Linked DNA regions of Caenorhabditis elegans. The protein of the gene in region 2 interacts with the protein of the main gene of each other region in a pairwise test. Each region holds a gene or a part of one and is shown on either strand. Other genes may lie near its edges.

Evidence for each region.
Region 1: the proteins of F41C6.6 (region 2) and gcl-1 interact in a two-hybrid assay, tested with the Caenorhabditis elegans proteins (one large-scale study listed by BioGRID).

The regions. Positions count from the first base shown.
Region 1 is NC_003282.8:13,407,514-13,414,776, forward strand, and holds gcl-1 (BTB domain-containing protein), read right to left. Parts: upstream 5,383-7,263; 5' UTR 5,377-5,382; coding exon 5,179-5,376; intron 4,123-5,178; coding exon 4,036-4,122; intron 3,992-4,035; coding exon 3,545-3,991; intron 2,398-3,544; coding exon 2,129-2,397; intron 2,082-2,128; coding exon 2,009-2,081; intron 1,964-2,008; coding exon 1,818-1,963; intron 1,771-1,817; coding exon 1,500-1,770; 3' UTR 812-1,499; downstream 1-811. Other genes in the region: Y62E10A.19 (Neuropeptide-Like Protein), read right to left, coding at 482-649; Transcription factor aptf-2, read right to left, coding at 6,163-6,418, 6,475-6,818, 6,867-7,263.
Region 2 is NC_003284.9:6,880,279-6,884,025, forward strand, and holds F41C6.6 (CNNM transmembrane domain-containing protein), read right to left. Parts: upstream 1,618-3,747; 5' UTR 1,294-1,617; coding exon 1,203-1,293; intron 1,155-1,202; coding exon 1,009-1,154; 3' UTR 660-1,008; downstream 1-659. Other genes in the region: F41C6.7 (ZT_dimer domain-containing protein), read right to left, coding at 2,215-2,298, 2,627-2,731, 2,777-2,857, 2,901-3,032, 3,074-3,182, 3,632-3,718.

The DNA.
Region 1 (7,263 bases), on a different chromosome or scaffold from region 2:
TGCGCGTCAAATATGTTGCACAATACGCATTCTCAGATTTTAAATGTTCCTGTAATATTCGGTACTTGTGTATTACATGCCCTCATCTTAATAGTAATTTTTTAAGCCATGAAAAATAAAAACGTGAACCACAATTTGTATTTTTAGGCTTAGAAAATAACATTTTCTAAGCCTAAAGAGGAAAAATGTATATCACGTTTATTTTAATTGGAGAAATTAATGACAATTTAATTTAATTTGAAAATGAGGGCATGTAATGCACAAGTACCTAATATTCAAATACCCCCGTCAAAAATATAATTAATTCGTTATCTGTGATTGAAAAAAGCAAAATTCTAGGTTCAGACTGAATTAATTTAAATCGAAATTTTGAAACATTTTTGGGAATTTTCAAAAAAGTCTTATTGTTAAATTTGGTCTTTTGGGCCATTTTAACCTACATTCTTGTAAAAAATGACTAAACGCACACTATTCCAATTACCTCTAAGGTTACACCTCCATATTCAAGATTCGACTGTGCCATCATGTTCAGCATAATTGCATCTCGCGGTCGTAAATTCTTGCTTTCGAACCATCCGTGCGGAAATAGCAGTGGTTGTGTGGTAACCACCGAAACTAAAATAAGAACGGCAAAGGCTATTCGGATCATGTTCGCTTCATTAAAGAAGTCCTGCGTGAAGGGTTGTGTGAAGGTGGGCAAAATATATCGGCAAATAATCGAAAGTTCACAGCGTGAAGTCACCCATCAATATATATATATCAGGTTCTGCCCTTGAGAACTGGCTGAGACACACTCAAAATACTTAGTCAGTGATATAGATGCAATTGTTTTTATTATTATTATGTTGCATAGATATATATTACATGTTCATAGATGTACAAGTTGGGTTCTAATACATAATGCACAAGAAAAAACATTTATAGGAGGACTAACGGTTCGGACGGTTTTGAACGTATACACCCAAAATGGGCTGAAATGGACAAATTTCGTAATGAAACTTCTCAAAAATGTTTCAAAAAATTTTTATGGTGGTTCAAAATTTCGAAAAAATTACACTGATTTTAACTAAAATCTCGAATTTCGGCTACTTTTCTGTGTTACATCTGTCCGAAGTTGACTTTTTTGGAATTATCATCCTTTATTGCATTTTTTGGTAGTACATTTAAGCCGATAGTTAGCCAATTTCGATGATTTTTGGTTACCTATCGCCTTTAAATGTACTTTAATAAACGAAATTAAATAAGATAAAGTACCAAAATATGCAATAAAGGATGATAATTCCGAAAAAGTAAACTTCGGACAGATATGATACGGAAAAGTGGCCAAAATTCGGGATTTTAGCTAAATTCAGTGTAATATTTTTTTAATTTTTTAACCGCCATAAAAAAATCTTTGAAAAATTTTTGAGAAGTTTCATTACGAAATTCTTTCATTTGAGCACATTTTGGGTCTATAAGTTTGAAATCGTCCGAACCGTCAGTCCTCCGATAATTGAAAACTACGAGCTGTCTTCTTCGTCATCTCCATCATCATCTTCTTCTTCCTCATCGTCTTCATCATCAGTAGAATTCTGATCATCTAGATACTTGTTCACATAATGACCTGTACTACAAATCGGTTGATGAATCAGATACTGAAAGTGAACTGATATCTGAGTTGCCAAGTCTTCACTCATTCGATAGATTGTTCTAGCTTCATCTGGCTTCATTTCCCACGTGGTTTTTCCACTGTCATAGAGGATTTGACCATTTGAGTCGCAAATGACCAGTCTGAATTTGACTATTTATCTTGAAAATCGTGGCAACCAACAACTTACCGGTAATGTAGAACATGTTTAGACTTTAAGTTCACCGAATACGGAGCTTTTTGGTTGAGACAATTTCGTTTTATACATACAGAATAGTCGTTTACATGAAGAAGTAGATCAACTCCGAAATTGAATCCTATCCATCGCCAGCATTTCTATAATTTTAAAAAGATTTTTTAGATTTCGAATAAGTAACTAACCGGGAATGAATCCAATGATCTACCAAGCCTAATACATCGTTTAAAAAACTCATCATCATCCATTTCAAGTGTTCTGAACAGCTCAAAGTTTATCACTATTCTGTCGACTTTCGAACTTACTTTGGACTTTCTTCATTTTCTAAAAGTGATGACCAAAGTGCTGACGTCATTTCATCAACAATTGACAACGGAATTAATGCATCTGATTTGACTGTTTTTATAGTTTCAGAACATGTCAAAAACTGTTCTATTCGTAGACTGGCAAAGATATCCGCATATTTTATGAACATTGAAGTTTTCGATTCTTTGAAAAATTTGGAAGCATTTTGAGTGAAAGTCTCTGGACTGTCATCCTTGCAGCAATCGGGCACTTCTCGCATGTAGATCCACTGTAATCATTTTCTATATATAAAATACAATTTTTATTTATAGTCAGAAAAAATTAGAATTTGTCTTTCGAAATAGTGGAGGGTTGGGTTTAGTGTAGGGCTACTGTAGGGGTACTGTAGTTTGAATAATGAGTTGTCGGGGTCTCGTAGTAGTGTTGTAGATGTGAAAATTTGCGGCGATTGCCGGTTTTCAAAATTCTTGTCAATCGGCAATTCCGGCAATTGCCTGTTTTCAACATTTCCGGCAATCGACAATTCCGGCAATTGCCGGTTTTGGAAATTTCGGGCAATCGGCAATTCCGATAATTGCCGGTTTTGGAAATTTCCGGCGATTCCGGCAATTGCCTGTTTTCAACATTTTCGGCAATCGGCAATTCCGATAATTGCCGGTTTTAGAAATTTCCGGCGATTCCGGCAATTGCCTGTTTTCAAAACTTTCGGCAATCGGGAATTCCGGCAATTGCCGGTGTTCAAAAATTCCCGGCCATTCCGGACAATTGCCGGTTTTCAAAATTTCCGGCAATCGGCAAGTCGGACAATTGCCGGTTGTTAAAGTTTCCGACAATCGGAAATTCCGGCAATTGCTGGTTTTGGAAATTTTAGGCGATTCCGGCAATTGCCGGTTTTCATAATTTCTGGCAATCGACAATTTCGGAATTTGCCGGTTTTCAAAATTTCCGGCAATTTAGGCATTTGCTGCCTTTCAAAATTTCGGGCAATCGGCAATTCCGGCAATTGCCAGTTTCAGTTGCCAGTTGCCGTCAGTTGCGGCAGTTGCCGGTTTCGGAAGGTTTAGGAAATTCCGGCATTTGCCGCTTTTCAAAATTTCCGGCAATTCCAGCAATTGCCGGTTTTCAAAATTTCCGGCAATTCTGGAAATTGCCGCGCTCCCCTGGGGAGCAGTGTAGGATTACTGTAGTTCTAGGAAGAATTAGTTTCTGCTATTGATAATTAAAAGTGAAAAAGTGTAAAAATTTTCACTGTTTTAAAATACTCATACTGGCCCCCAAAAAATTCGAGCCAAATTTCGCCAACTTTTCATTGTTGAACCAGCTGATTTTAGCAAAATTGGACTTTTTTTCGAATTTTTGAGAAGCCTCATTATTAAAATTCGGTTTTAAATTTTCGGGAATGAGAAATGACTTACAGATTTAACAACTTTATAAAGATCAAATTCGCCTTCAATTATCAAAAGATTGGGTGAATTGAGAAGCGTCACAAAAAGCTGTCGATCAACTTCATTGAGCTTCTCCCTATCAGTCATTATTTTCCAAAATTGGTGTAACAATACTTCCATCGATTTCTCTCGAACCTTCTCCAGACCATATTTAGTTGAAACATCGTAGAATCGAACTGCATTCTTTGTGCTTAATGCTTCAATCATCATTTCTGAACATCTATCTGTGACACTATCAAGTACAATATATGAAGCCGCTGCCACAGTTCCCTCGATTTTATCCAAATCTATCTCAATCTCATTGTGATATAGACTTCCGAGCACCGAGTTTAGACCATCTGCGTCAATATTCGGATCTGTTATTTCCATCTGAACTCTTCCACTATTCGACTCTGTCCATAAACCATCGAACATTGACTAAAAGCATTCGAAATTAATTTGAAACAATTCAAAAAACTCACTTCAAAAAATTTGGTCTGCTTTAGATAAAGCTTGTGAACCCTCCATTCCCTGCCACACGCAGCCAGGACAATGTCCGAATTTTCTCCCTGAAAAAATAACGAAATTTGAGAAAATTTCCAAATTTCTTTCAATTGAATTGTTTTCTTTCCCTACTAATTATACAAAGGAATTTCAAAATAATTATGGTCATAGTTTTTTGGCGGCAATCGGAAATTTCCGGCAATTCTGACATTTGCCGGTTTTCAAAATTTACGGCAATTGCCGGTTTTGGAAATTTTCGGCAAGTGCCGGTCTTCAAAATTTCCGGCAATTTCGCCAATTGCCGGTTTTGGAAATTTCCGGCAATTCCGATAATTGCCGGTTTTCAAAATTTTCGGCAATAGGCAGTTTCGGCAATTGCCGGTTTTGGAAATTTCCGGCAATTCCGACAATTGCTGGGTTTCAAAATGTTTGGCAATTTCCGAAATTGCCGAAAACTCGATTGTCGCGCACCTCTGATTGAGTGAAAATTTCTGAAACTACATACCTGTGAAAATTAAGTTTTTAAAAAATTAATTTCTCAGTATTAAACTGTTTTGTACTGAAATTTGTGATAATTCTGAAATTTTTCATCAATTGCATACTCAAAATGCGAAAAAAAGATATGTCTCAATTGAAAAACGCCGAAAAAATCTTTGATAAAATGTCAAATTTTCAAAAAATTTGGACTTTTGGAAAAATTTACGATATTTCCGGAATTTTAAAAATTCCAAAATCATAGTAAAAATCAATTTTTGGTAGACGTTCAAAATTACGAGTGGCCCTGTTTTGCCTGTAATTTTAAAAATTCTGAGAATAAAATTTCAGCACAATAGTAACAATTTTGGCAATTTTCTCTTGCATGCAAGACTAATAGAGGAAATACGGTATATAGTTGGCATAATTAGTGAAAAAATACTAAAATGTAGGTTTTCGAACTAAATAATCAGTTTTTTCTTTTTCCATGTTACAAAATTAAAAAAAAACACAATTTACCAGATTCGTGACGAAGAAATCTCAAATTTGTTGAAACAAAACATTCATTTTGGAATTTTATTGCATTAATTTAGTCAACTCCATATTTTAGTTACCCATTTTGCACTAAAAATTCAATTTATTCTAACCTGTAAAAACAATTTCTGATATACATATGCACATGTGTTCAGTTTTGCCACTTTCTTCATCTCAATCTCACTTCCTTTTGCCGCTTTTCGTTTTCTTCCCCGTCTTGGACCAGACTCTTCATACACATCCATTACTTGATGGTCATTTGGAAGTGGATCACGAGAGGGCGTCCGCGAGTGGGACTGAGCTAATCCCATTTTTGACTGGAAAATAATGTTTCAGTAAATCACGTGGTGTCAGATGGCTCATTTCAGCTGGATTTACTTAGATCTACAAAAAATGCGGGAATTTAGATGCAGAGCTGTCAACTGATTTCGAATGGTTAAGAACGTGCTGACGTCACATTTTTTGACCAAAAAATTCCCGCATTTTTGTAGATCAAACCGATTTATTAATATTACTGTCTTGTATAAATGTAAGGGGGAAAAGGCAACATATGGTTAAGCCGTCGGCAACGACGCAAACAAATGGTCAGTTGAGAAAGTGTTTGAACACGAGAGATTACGCCTTCTGGAGACGCAGACGCGCAAGCGCACATTGCCACAGGGTCAATAAATGTTTTCACGTGAGGAACGGGGGTAAAGAAATTCCTAATTTTCAGTTTTGGAATATGTATCATTAAAAATTATTTTCATGTTGCTAGTACGTCTTATAGAGAAGCTTCGAATTCATTTTATACATTTGAATAATAATGAATTTTTCAAAGTTTTACACATCAAAATGATCAAAATGATGTGTAAAACCTATAAAATTCAATATTATTCAAATGTATAAAGTGAATTCGAAGCTACTCTATAAGACGTACTAGCAATATGAAAATCATTTTTAATGATGCATTTCCTAGTACTAAGGAACATCGTATGAGGATTTAAATAAATAAAAAGTTTCATTGAAATTAAGTGAAAACATCATAGAGATCATGGAAAATAAGTGAGACCTTGGTAATCAGATTGTTTTAAATATCAGAATATGAAAATATGAATTTATGCTTTCAATTCCTCTGGCTTTGATTCAGTTGGCGTCTCTGTCAAGCGTCGAAGTTCAGATGCGACTCCATTTCCGATTGCAGTCAATTGGGGGAGCCAAACCCGTTGAGACACGATTCCAAGTCCATGTGAAGCTGATGAAAAGGTCTCCATTCCATTGTTCAGTCGCATGTTGTTCGACGGTTTTGGCTCGATTCCAGTGATCGGAGGGACGACTGATGTGAAAACTGATTCAAGTGCTGACATACATTCTCTGAAATATTTGGAATTTGGCGTCAGAATTGAGAAATTGGAATATAGTCAACTTACGTGAAATCCTTATCATTCATCAACGCATCCAGATCTGCATCCTCGTCAGCCAATGCTTCATGAGCAACTTCTTGAATTATATCTTGAACTGGATAATCATCTCGTACAGCTGTTCCAAGATCAAGTCCCAAATGAACAGCTTCCGCTTCGACCAAAGCGATCACTTTGTTGGGAAAAGCCTTCTGTTTCGCATTCAGTTGAACCTTGATTCCATGATCTCTCAGTTGAGCGCGCATCAGTTCACCTCCATTCTTCAGTTTTGGCCTTTTAAGATTGCATGCGATACTCGAACTATTGAGCTTCTCCGGACTTTGCAATCTTCGTCTCATTTCCTCGACTGTGACCTGGAAGATTATTTAAATTTTAATATTGAACTTCTACCGTAAACGTACAAAATAACATGTCTGATTCTGTCCCATAGATAGTCTTCCATGAACCACATCAAATGCCTGATCTTTCGGACTTTCCAGTTCAAATCCACTCGGAACTGCATTCTCAATAACCGGAGTCAAATTAATGTTTTTTCGAACATTATTGCTCATTTTCGGAGGCGGCTTGAAAGTGCTCGGGTCCTGTTCAGTGACCGGATTCGGGTTGAGAAGACCCGCCAGCTTAATCGCAAATTGTGCCTCCTCGGAGAGCATCGGTGCGTATTCGAAAGGTCCACGTGGTGGTTGCAACTTTGCATCATCAGACGTGATTTTTCCTTTTAAAAGTTGTGCCAAAAGGGAGTTGTCTTCTTGCTCGGCAACGGCGGGTTGGGTAGAGCACTCTGCAGAGCTTGAAGGG
Region 2 (3,747 bases):
TTAATTCGAAGTGTTTAAAATTTAAAAAAAACACACCAGTACGCGCGCAGATCAAAACCATAAGCAAATTTAAGCCTACAAAATGCACATTTACGCAAAAAAACTAGACATCTCAAACATGTTCACAATTGTTTCATATGGTGGTTTTAAATTTCGGAAAAAATTGGGTCGAAGCCAACTGAAATCTACCGATTCTACTAAACTTGTCTTTGTCCTAGAGACCAGAATTTAGTTTTTATTCACTTATTATCTGATAAGGAAAACTTGAAATTGGGGTTTTTCTCTGATGGGTCTATGTTTATTTTCTAAAAAAAACTAATTTGAAGATATAAAGCCAAAATACCCTCCAAATATGCAAATCAAGGCAATAATTAAATTTTAACTAACCCGCCACAACAAGGAAAATTTGTTAACATTTCAAAATTTATTTTAACTTTTTTTTCAAAGATTTACTTACATCTTCAGAGTGTCTTCCTGTAAAATTCGGTTGTTTGGAGACATTTTGAATCAATTAAAGCAAAAAACACAAAATTCTTTTACGTCTTTAATACACAAACATAAATTTGATGCGTTATTTACAGTTGTGCTGTATATTAAAATTTTTTTTAGAATCTTGGCAAAGAGTGATCTGATCCAAAATTTTATTAAGAAAGTAGGCGACTGTGTTCCAAAGTTCGAATTCGTGTTGAATGTTGAAAATTACGTTTTTTAAAATGTTCCCTCGTGGGACGGGCAATGGTAAAAGTTGAGTCAAATATGCAAGTCATACCGCTCGAAAAAAGTATGAAGAAGACTAGAAAGAAAGTTAAATAGATTTTACAAAAAGACAAAACGTGTCAATTATCAGATAAGTATTCACATTGCGGCTAAGATTGGGCCAAATGCGTACAAGGTGCAGGAGATCGTGGTGGCGGAGTTGATGGTGGAATTGGAGACATTGGCCGACTTGGAATTGTCGATGTTATGCTTGAATGTCGGCTTGTCATTGGGATCATTTCTTCTGAATCTCTATTTGCATCTCGCGTGGTTTGACGTCGGGCCGGCCCGGTTTCCAGTGGTCCCGCGAGCTCTGTTATCAGATGGAAGCTTGCTTTGATGACTACCAGTGTCACGCACAGCGACATCGTGATTGATGCCACTATGAACAGAGGGCTCTGAAAATTAACAGTCTGGGAATTAAAATGAGGTTATCAACTACTGACTTTTTACCTCGTTGTGGATCATCATGAGAGCCGTGGAGCCGATGAGTGCACAGTTCATTAGAAATGGGATAGTGAAACCAAGGATCGCCATAGCGAGCCTTCGCCTCATATCCCAAAAGATTGAGAGAGCTCACTTTATGTAGAGCTCACTTGGCTCGGAAATCGAAATGGGACGAATGGTCGGAAGACATTTCAGGTAAGAGGGTTGGACACCAGATAATTGTCATTGATAGGTGTGGCTTCTGGTTTATTGTTGAATTGATTGCCTTTTTTCGATGGGTCTATTATTATTTGTATGAAATTTTTGCCAATAAGTGCCAAGGGAAGTAAAGGGCAGTAATGGGAAATAGAAAATCAAATTCTACGATTTTGTTTTGCAATATTTGAATTGAAAAGCATTACTTTAGTTTTAAGGGTTTGTTAAAAAAGACTTATCAAAAGACTTATCAATACATATAAATATAAACCTGTCAAAATAATGATTACCGTATTTCCTCTATTAGTAAGGCATGCAAAACTAATTTTCGGACACCTAATTTGATGCAAAACTAATGAAGGTGCAAAACTAATAGAGGGTGCAAAACTAATTTTCGAACAGGTTTTTTCTCACGTTTTCCATTAAGTTGTGGCATAATATCATCAATTTCAATAACAACTTATGAACCAAAATGGACGAATTTTACGACTGATACGCAAAAATTGTACGAGTTGTACTCATATTTTGCCAGTTTTGACCTCTTATACCAAGTCTGTAAGAGTTCTTCTAATTATTAGAACGATTTTTAATGCAAATTTTGAATTCTTAAAATTAGGGAACAAATGAAGTGGTGCAAAACTATTAGAGGTGCAAAACTAATAGAGGGTGCAAAACTAATTTTCGATTAGTGATTTTGGATGCAAAACTAATTGAGGTGCAAAACTAATAGAGGTGCCTAACTAATAGAGGAAATACGGTAGATTCAAAATACAGATAAAGCAGTGCGATTCAGTATTAAACAACATGAACAATAGATCAAACTTTTTGTAAAAGTTCTACGGATTCTGCATTTTTAGAGCAATCGACGTCAGGTTGTTTTACAGAAAGCAAATGCACGTTCTGAAATTAAATTTTTTGAAGTCAACAACAACAACATATGAAAGTAAATATACTTACTAATTCTGTGTAAGAAACCCTGTGTTATAAGTAGTAGATTTTTGACCATGCTCATTCATAAGAAAAGTTATTTTACTCATCTTTAATGTTAAAAAGGTATACACAGAGAAAGATAAAGCCAGTTGCACATTTTCAAATCAAAATTTAATTTTTTAACAATAACATAAATTATCAAAGATAAAGCTTCCAAATGTTTTCTCAAATTTTGATTTTTAACAAAAGGGTAGTAGTAGTTTACATTGAAACTTTTTCTGTTGAATAAGATTCCTACCTTGCTCTCCTCCACTGGTAGTAGATAAACCGCCAATACCTCGTCCGCACTGAATTTTGATTGAATTTCTTCTCGATTTTGTTGGTTTTCCACTTCACAATATATCTACAATTTGATGTATTCACTCATTTTCCAGTTATTATAGTTTACCTCTACAATTGCTTTGTTACCAACATGATAAGTTATATATCCAACTATCACAGTAAACATGGACTGGTTACTCGAAATTATCTTCAAATTTTTTGATGTAAAAAAAACTTGTGAATGTAAAAACCTGTGAAATTTTATCATTTATTTCATCATCTCCCTTAATGCCTTGAAGTTTGAACCAAGATTCGGAAACAATTGGCGCCCAGTTTCTTATGATTAGTAAGAAAATTATAAAAGCACCGATGAAATCGCATTCCTAAAGAAACATTTGCCATTCTTCACAGACAAAAAACATACCTTCCAATACGAATGGGCAATGCACACAGCAACAAGAGCAATCGAGTTTGTCAATACATCTGTAAGCTGGTCCCTCATCAAAACCCGAATTTGGTTGTTCTCTCGTTTACTGAAATTTTAATTTTAACATACTGCGTTTGTCGTTACTGAACATTTTCTTGGCGGCACAAAGGGGCTAAGATCTGAATTTTTTACTATGTCTTTGTGGTGAACTTTTCTTAGAATTTTAAAACCCATACCATTTTTTTTTTTTGAGAAGTCTCGTTCGAAACTCGGTCATTTGAGATCATTTTGAGCGCAAAAACTAAAATTGCGGCTTTTTAACCATAAATACGATTTTTAAACAGTACTGAATTTTTGAATCTTCCGTCGCGGAAGAGTTTCAGACATTCTTCAGTTTTATCCAGTTTTTAGTAACTTTTTCAAATCTTCTTTCAGCATATTTTTATTTAGGTGTTTTTTAAATAAATAAATCATAGTCACTTTTTTCATTTGACGCAAAAACCATGTCCAGACCGGGTCCCATACTCAATTAATAAAAAAGTTGGAAAAACTTACATAAGGCATACAAAAAACAAAAACAGCTTCACAACAATGTTGACGATAACGACGATAATATGAGGAGTTCCGAATTCAGGATTTAAGCTGTAATTAATGTGCTGTGATGTGATGTG